2 linked regions of the Caenorhabditis elegans genome follow. The protein of the gene in region 1 purifies or fractionates together with the protein of each later gene. This does not show direct contact. Each region holds a gene or a part of one and is shown on either strand. Other genes may lie near its edges. The genes, in order: sorf-1 and sorf-2.

Evidence for each region.
Region 2: the proteins of sorf-1 (region 1) and sorf-2 purify together in Caenorhabditis elegans (affinity purification with western blotting, with the first as the bait; one study listed by BioGRID). This does not show direct contact.

Annotation. Positions count from the first base shown.
Region 1 is NC_003284.9:3,377,322-3,381,252, forward strand, and holds the start of sorf-1 (Suppressor of organelle fusion 1), read right to left. Parts: upstream 1,928-3,931; 5' UTR 1,837-1,927; intron 1,579-1,836; 5' UTR 1,569-1,578; coding exon 1,446-1,568; intron 1,388-1,445; coding exon 1,277-1,387; intron 1,204-1,276; coding exon 1,050-1,203; intron 1,001-1,049; coding exon 825-1,000; intron 777-824; coding exon 721-776; intron 1-720. Other genes in the region: ZK563.7 (Apyrase), read left to right, coding at 3,261-3,327, 3,374-3,519, 3,573-3,786. UniProt on the Caenorhabditis elegans protein: Together with sorf-2 negatively regulates the levels of phosphatidylinositol 3-phosphate (PtdIns3P) to enable the conversion of early endosomes to late endosomes.
Region 2 is NC_003281.10:5,324,307-5,328,237, forward strand, and holds the start of sorf-2 (Suppressor of organelle fusion 2), read left to right. Parts: upstream 1-2,316; 5' UTR 2,317-2,324; coding exon 2,325-2,500; intron 2,501-2,914; coding exon 2,915-3,640; intron 3,641-3,911; coding exon 3,912-3,931. Other genes in the region: F52C9.3 (uncharacterized protein), read left to right, coding at 884-1,158, 1,789-1,926. UniProt on the Caenorhabditis elegans protein: Together with sorf-1 negatively regulates the levels of phosphatidylinositol 3-phosphate (PtdIns3P) to enable the conversion of early endosomes to late endosomes.

The sequences.
Region 1 (3,931 bases):
TCATGTCTTAGTTTCTTTGAAAATTGTATTTTCGTGGTACATTTCCAGGTGCAAAAAACATGTACGAAAATGCTAATTCTCCAGGTGAAAATTGGAATTTCTTGGCATCTATGTAGTTGTGAATTTGCAAAAGTGGTCTGAATACCTATGCAAAAACAACTTGACACAACATTTCAATAAACTTAAATGCTTAAGAAACAAAAGTTTAAAGCCGAATTTCGAAATAAGATCTCCCGAAAATTCTTAAAAACGTCTTTATGTAGGTTGTTTAATATTAAATAAAAATAATCTCAGAAATTTACAGCAACTTGGATACTGAAAAATGACAACCGCAAAAAATTCAAGACACTAAAGATAGGTGAGAAGTTGCCACAGTTATTTCGAAAATTGCTATAGTTGGCGGGAAACTTTTCGGAGGGTACAGTTTTGGGGGTTCAGAAGTTTCGACTATTTCCGGGTCCCATATTAGATTTTTTTAATTATCTGAGGACAGTAGTTGCGTAAGAAATTCAGTTTTTATTTACCCATCACATTTTCTTGAACATTATACATAGTAGATTCTTATAATGAAATTTAGTATTTTGAGTTAATTTTGACTTTTTTTGAGTAACAATATTACACATCGATAGTACATTTTCAAAGAACGTTTTTACAGGAAATACGTGTCTGCTAGTTCAATTTTACTTTTTAAACAAATCACTGAGCAATGAACAAACTCACTGAGCAATTACTGCGAAGTCGTCTATCAAATCTTCATCGAAATCCACATGATCGTTCTGTAAAACTTTATTTAAGATAACTTTTTTTCAATTCCAGTATCTTACTCCAGTCGGATCTCTTGCTATTCCTTCTACAATCGTTCCGATAACACTTGGAGAAACGTTCGCCAAACTTGTCGACAAAAAGTTATGAAGTGATACGTAGTATATTTCAATCCACGTTTTATCAAAATACTTTCTAAATGGCTCGGTGTCCTTTGCATGGTGGTTGTAGGGAAATGCTGAAAGTTGAAACAATGACCATTTTTCAAAAAAAAAAAACCGGCATACCAAACCAATCTGCCCATTGCGGATTGTTTAACGTAAGTGACGACATTTTCCGGAAAAATTCGTTGCATTTTGAAATGTTTTTCTTTTGAACACACCGAACGAGAAATAATCGATAGGCGCTGGCTTCGTAACATTGCGCTTGTTTTATTCCTTCCTGAAAATAATCGATTTAAAATTATTGATGGTAATAACTGTTAGAATAATTGAATTTTAAAGAAAAAACTGACCGTATCTAAACTATGAAAAACGCGGGCATTCCAAGACTCCCACATTGCGCATAAAGTGTCCACGTCGTGTTTATCAATGGCATCTGTCATCTCGTCAATGCATCTATCTACCTGAATAAAATGATCGGCATATTGATTTTTTGAAAATTTAAAGACCAAAAATAATTACCTGATAGTTAGCTTCTTTGGCAAATGAAGATTCCTGATCGAAAGCTTTCAAACTGGTGACCATCGACTTCGCCGCCAAATAGTTTCTGACCACTTCGTCGGTGGAGTTGGAAACATGGCTCATTTGGTTAAATCTGCAAAGAAATGTTTGTTTATGTGATTGCGAATAAAAAAGGTATTCAACATGAAAAATCAATTATATATGCCCTCAGAAAAAGTAAAATGCGCTCTAATGCAACACATTCAAGTAAACACACGAAAAGGTGTGCGTTCATCGATCGGTCGTCGTCACAAACAAAACAAAAACGAGTCCTGCCGATTTATATTGGCGGTTTAGCATTTTAATATGAGAAAGTTGTTATAAAAAAATATTTCACAATTGAAACACTTACTGAAGTAATAAATTAGAAATTCGCAAAAATACACGTTACAGAGCTATAATCATTGTCGTTTATACGTCAATAAGCGCCCAAAAAATGCCGGATCACTCCGAGTGGAGTACGTGCGCGATGGCCGAAGATTTGCGCATGGCCGAGCCGGGAAGAACCTTGTAAACGCGATGCATAAAAAAACAATGTGTGTTCAATGAATATTGGATAAAAACAAGACTATGCGACTTACGAAATTAATACCTTACATAAAATTTTGAAATTTTTTTCAGACTGAAGCAGTTTTGTTGATTCTGGGTAATGTTTGTTATTTTAAGGTCGGTTTTAAATCATAACATTTGTTGAAGAATCAAGTAAATATAGGAAATTTTGAGAACAATTTTCCAGTGGCAATATTTTGTTATTCTTTATATATTTTTTTAAAGCATTTTTTAAAACCCTGCATTTTTGAAAATGAATGAAATTTTCATGAACACATGTTTTTCTCATGATAATTGGTACTTTCCAAAGTCTCAAATTCGCACGCTTTAATTTTTTACAAGTAAACTCATTTTTAAAAATTCTTTAAATTTTTGATTTGGTGCTCTGTTGTTCAGTGTGAGATTTGAAAATTGTGTAGGTGTAATGAAACGTTGTATTACTTGTTTTACAGTTTTGAGAGGTGTTTTTGTTACCGTTGTATTCATTTGAAAGTTGGTAAAATTTCAATCGTAATATTTTGACACAGTCACGTACAGTTTTCAAAATGGTTAAAATTTTTGGGGCAGGTATACTACACATGCACTCTGAAATATTTAACTTTTATTTGATTACCATTTAAATTTGAAATTAAAATACATCAAAAAAAGCTCGTTGTTCAACCTTACCATGCCACTTTTCCGATGAGTGTTTTTATGCTATCAAATTTCAGACTGCGATTGCCCCCTATATATTCCAACCGTTGATGACTAGACACTTATCGTTTCATTTGTTCACGAAAAGTCCGAAATTTCACACCAAAAACAGATAAACAAACACCATTTTCACTGGCTTAACCTCCCTCCGAACAATCGGCGAACTAATCACATAAAGTGTGAAGCAAGAAAAAAAAACGAAAAATATCTAGGCTCATCACAGCCTCCAGTTCTCTAACTTTGCTGCTTCAATTTCATATTTTTCTTCCATTAGCTGTCACAATTGTTTCCAACGTGTTTCAATCTTTTCTGCCATTAGATCAAGTTTCTCAACATATTTCTTCTTATTTGCTTTGATTTGTTTCTCCTGATGGAGAAGAAGTATCGAAGTTCAAGTAGGTAGCAACTGATGAATGTGTTTTGCAGAGGCAACGTGTAAAGGCCGGAACGGAAATTGAGCCGGCAACCAGTTGACTTTTTACTTTTTTCACACATTTTTCTTCTCAGCTATCTTTGTGTTGAGAAAATTCACAAATGTGGCTTCTTCTATCAATTTTCCTATGTGCTCCATTCTTTCTAAACGGGTCGGAAATTAAAAAACGTAAGTAATGAAGCAATTTTTATTATAACTTTCCTAACTTGTAAAGCACTATGCGAAGTGATTCAAGTGGACTCGAAAAACAACAGTGATATGTTACTACCGTTAGCAATTATCACTGATATGGATAGTAAAACCAAACAGAAAGATAGCTGGTACAGTACTCTCAGATACGGGGCTCTGGCCTTTTCACAGGTAATTTCCGCAAAAGAAAAACCAGAAAATAAAAAAAATACATTTAATTTCAGAATCGAACTGCTTCTTTCATTCACTGGCTAGGTGGAGTTAACATCACATCGAATTTTAACTTTAACCAAAAATCAATGGAAATGAGTGATTTGAAAATTTTCAACAACAGATTATTATCAGTGGATGATAAAATCGGAGTTGTCTACTGGCTGAGAAACGGCACCGCAATTCCATGGGTAATCTCGTCAACGGGAAATGGATCTTCAAGTAGTCGTAAGTTGGTCTTGGTTGAAAAATTTAATGTTTACGAATAATACAAACATTTCTCACTGGGGTATTCTTTTACTACGGAATTTTCTCAGCTTGTTATTTTTATTGATGAGAGATTTTCACATAGGATTACTTAGGAAATATGAGA
Region 2 (3,931 bases), on another chromosome or scaffold:
TCTATTTGAATTACCGCCAATTGGATTTGTTCGATGGAGCGCGCTTGCACGTTTTTAAATTTATTTATTTTATTTTTTGTTATTTTCCACCGATTTTTAATGTTTTCGGTGTATTTTTGGTCGAATTTTAGAGAAAAAATCAAAATAAATGCAAATTTTCGATTAAAAAGCACGCTTACAGGCGTAAAAATGTAAATCAGTGAAATTAATTAATTCAGGTTTGAAATCGTTGAAAAAAGTTACTTTTACATTTTTACGCCTATAAGCGTGCTTTTTAATCGAAAATTTGCAATTATTTTGATTTTTTCTCTAAAATTCGACCAAAAATACACCGAAAACATTAAAAATCGGTGGAAAATAACAAAAAATAAAATAAATAAATTTAAAAACGTGCATGCGCGCTCCATCGAACAAATCCAATTGGCGGTAATTCAAATAGAAATTAGGCAAAAACTGAGATTTTTCAATTTTCAAAGAATCATATAAAATTTAGAAAATTTTTTTGAATTTTTTTATCATGATATTCGGTCATTGTGGTACCATAGGCATGTTTAAAAACTATTTCCCCACTGGCGCTACTCCACCTTTAATTTCTGAAAATTCATTGGAAATTGAATTTTAGAGAAAAATATATTTAACATTTTTTTCTTATTAAGAGAATTGATATTTGAAATTGAAATCTCTCCCAAATTTTCTACAGAATTGGGAAATACATTTAGATTTTTTAAAAAAAAGTTTTCAAATGTTAAAATTTAAATGTTTGCGAAAAAAAAACAACCCCAAGCATTCAATTTGAAAAAATTCGAATTACTAATTTTCTGGTACCAAGAGTTAAATTATTGCTCGAGTTTCGAGTTTTGAATCAAAATTTCTCAATTTTCAGGGCAAAAAGATTATACGGGAATAATCAACGAAAAATGCGGAGAAAAACATGAACTGGACACACACGGAGCTGAATTTCTTATCGAAAATGAACAAATGAGTGATTATTCACAGATTCGATTCAGAATGGGCGGTACGGATATTGGACGATTTGGAGTAATTTCTGATGGATTTAAACGATGTTCTGAAGGAATTGTTGGAAGAAGTACTGATGAAAAGTTTTATGGAACTGATTTCTTGGCAAATTCTGTTGCTTTTAAGATTTCTGCTCTACCGGTTAGTGTTTAAAATTCTTTAAAAAAATAGAACAGCGTTTTGAAATTTAATTTATTATTTTTTTCTTCTGAAAAACATTAATTTTGAGAAAAATGAGCAAAACTGATATTCAATAAAATTCTATATTTTTACTTTCGAGAAGCATAACAATTTAATTCTTAAAGTATAGAAAAAACTTCCAATTTAAAATCTCAGTGAAAATTTGATTTAGAAATTTCACTGTTTTTTGCAGAAAAAAAGTTACAAAAAAAATTAAAAATCTATTACATTTTTTAATGCCTCCTTTATTTTTAAGATTTTTCTGAATCAGTTAAATTTTTAAAACCCAGTGTCATTGACACAAAAAATTTTATTTTTAAACTTAAATAATTAAATTGTTAAGTTTCTCGAAAGTGAAAATATACAATTTTCGTGAAAATAAATGGTTTAAATATCAAGTTTTGAACATGATTATATCGATTCTTAATTTAAAAAATTTTGAGCATTTTTTTGTATTGTATAATCTTTTCTTGTCTAGCCAAAAACTGAATCTTTAAAAATTTAACTGATTGCTGATAAATATATTGAACTTTCTATAAAAAGTTTTCTGAAAAAAAAAACAATTCTTAATCTCATTTTTACCAATTTCAGTCCTACATTCATCGCCTCTACATCTCAAGTAACGCTACACCAAAAGATGCTGAACTCACGGATAGACAAATCACAATTCGTGGAACTCAGAAGAAATTGGACATTTTCCTGCCAACATCCATTCGCCTGGAACTTTAATGTCTTTTTATTCGATTTTTATCGATTTTTTAGGATTTAGTAAGAATTATTTGTTGACTCTCTTTTTGTTGTTTTTCTCTTTAAAAATAAGTATAAATAAAAAAGTTTTGTTTATTTATGTTTGCCCTGAAAATCGATACAACAATCATCATCTCGTTCCCGTCGAAATGTTTATTTTTGATTTTGGGTTACCAGAAAATTCAAAATTGACCTCCGCCTTCGGAAAGATCGATAATTGCAACGTTTTTGAATATTTCTCCATTGAATAATTCAGAATTTGTCGAGTTCATATTACTTTAATCTTAAAAGCGCGTGATCAATTCCTGTTGGGTCCCGCCACGTTTTAGGGAACTATAAAAATTTAATAATCATGATTTTATCGATTTTCAGACCCATATATGCCTGAGGAAGAGTTCGAATGGAACGAGTCAAAACTAAATGCTCTATCAGAAATTCTCACCCAATGGGCTCCACATGATGAACTGAAATTGGAAAATGTCATACTTGAGGCAAAAATGGCCTGGATTCACGAATCCACAGATGCTGTGGCACTCGAGAAAGAATTCGAAAAATTGTGAGCAAATTTATATTACCCAGATGCCAAATTCTGCAACTTTTGCTCCGATAATACTGTAACTGGCCTCGACACGACAAATAGTTATTAAAATTGTATGAACCTTTGAAGAGTACTGTAGCTTCAAATTCTCGTTGCGATTTTGCGTCGATTTTTCATAAATAGTTTTTAAATTTTCATGATATTTTTTCTTGAATAAAAATATATACATTTTTGAAAATTGGAAAAAATACTATAAGTTAAAAATCGATGAAAATTAAGCAACAACGAGAATTTGAGACTACAGAAATCTTTAAAGACGCGCCATGGCGCTCTATTTTTTTCATTGTCGAGACCAAGAAATTTGAAAACTGAACCATGTGCGATCCCGCTCCACTGAACTAATTATTATAAAGCTTATTCAAATTTTTGCAGACTCAACACCTCATTCGACCCTCTAATGGACTATGAAGAGCACCAACGAGTCAAAAATGGAGTGTGCTCACCGGCAAAAAGCACAAAATTGGATTGGATCACGAAATGGGCAAATATCGCAGAGAAGCTTTCAATTTCTCATATAAACTGCTCAAAAGCACCTCATAAGACAATAAATTTTCAACGTCTTCAAATTCTTCCAAATATGACTTCAATTCTAGCAATTGCTCATACAGAGGCAGATAATGTAATTTTGATTTATGGTCACACGAAAGAAGGAATCGATTTTCAAACTGTACTCCGACACTCGTACAGTAATATTCCTGATGGAAGCCTTCAGACAATCCATTTCCTCACTAAAAATCTACTCGACCTATATTCCCAATTATTCTCGAGAAAGATCACAGCTGAATTCAAAACCCGTCATTTCCGCTGTCTTCCAAGTTTCTGGCTTCAGTATGATGTTCTTGCTCCAATATTTGAGCAGTTTCGAGCTCCGCGAGCCCCCAGGATACCTCTTGATGAGGCAACGTCGAATTGGGCGAATAGAAAATGGGAAAACTATCAGTATCTGACATATTTGAATGATATCACTGGACGAGTTCGTGGAGAAGTACATAATCATCCGATTTTTCCGTGGGTGTGTGATTTTTCCGAGGAAAATGGCGGGTTTCGGCAATTAAATCGAACGAAATATCGGCTGTGCAAGGGAGATGATCAATTAAGGTACACAAATTTTTGGAAATCATAGTTTCAAAAAGTGTAAACTCGGCTACCAATATTTTACACGACCATGCCGATATTACTGTATATTAGTAATATCAGAATATATTTGTAGTGATACTGGAGCATCGTCGCAAATTAATTTTTTTTGAAGTTTCATTCATAAAACTTACTAAACTTACCATATACCAAAATTTTCCAACTCGAAGCCCCGGTCCCTTAGAAAACCCATAGTTTGGTAGAAATAAAACTTTGAAAAACTGAACCATTTTAGAGAAATGTACTCCCGTGAGC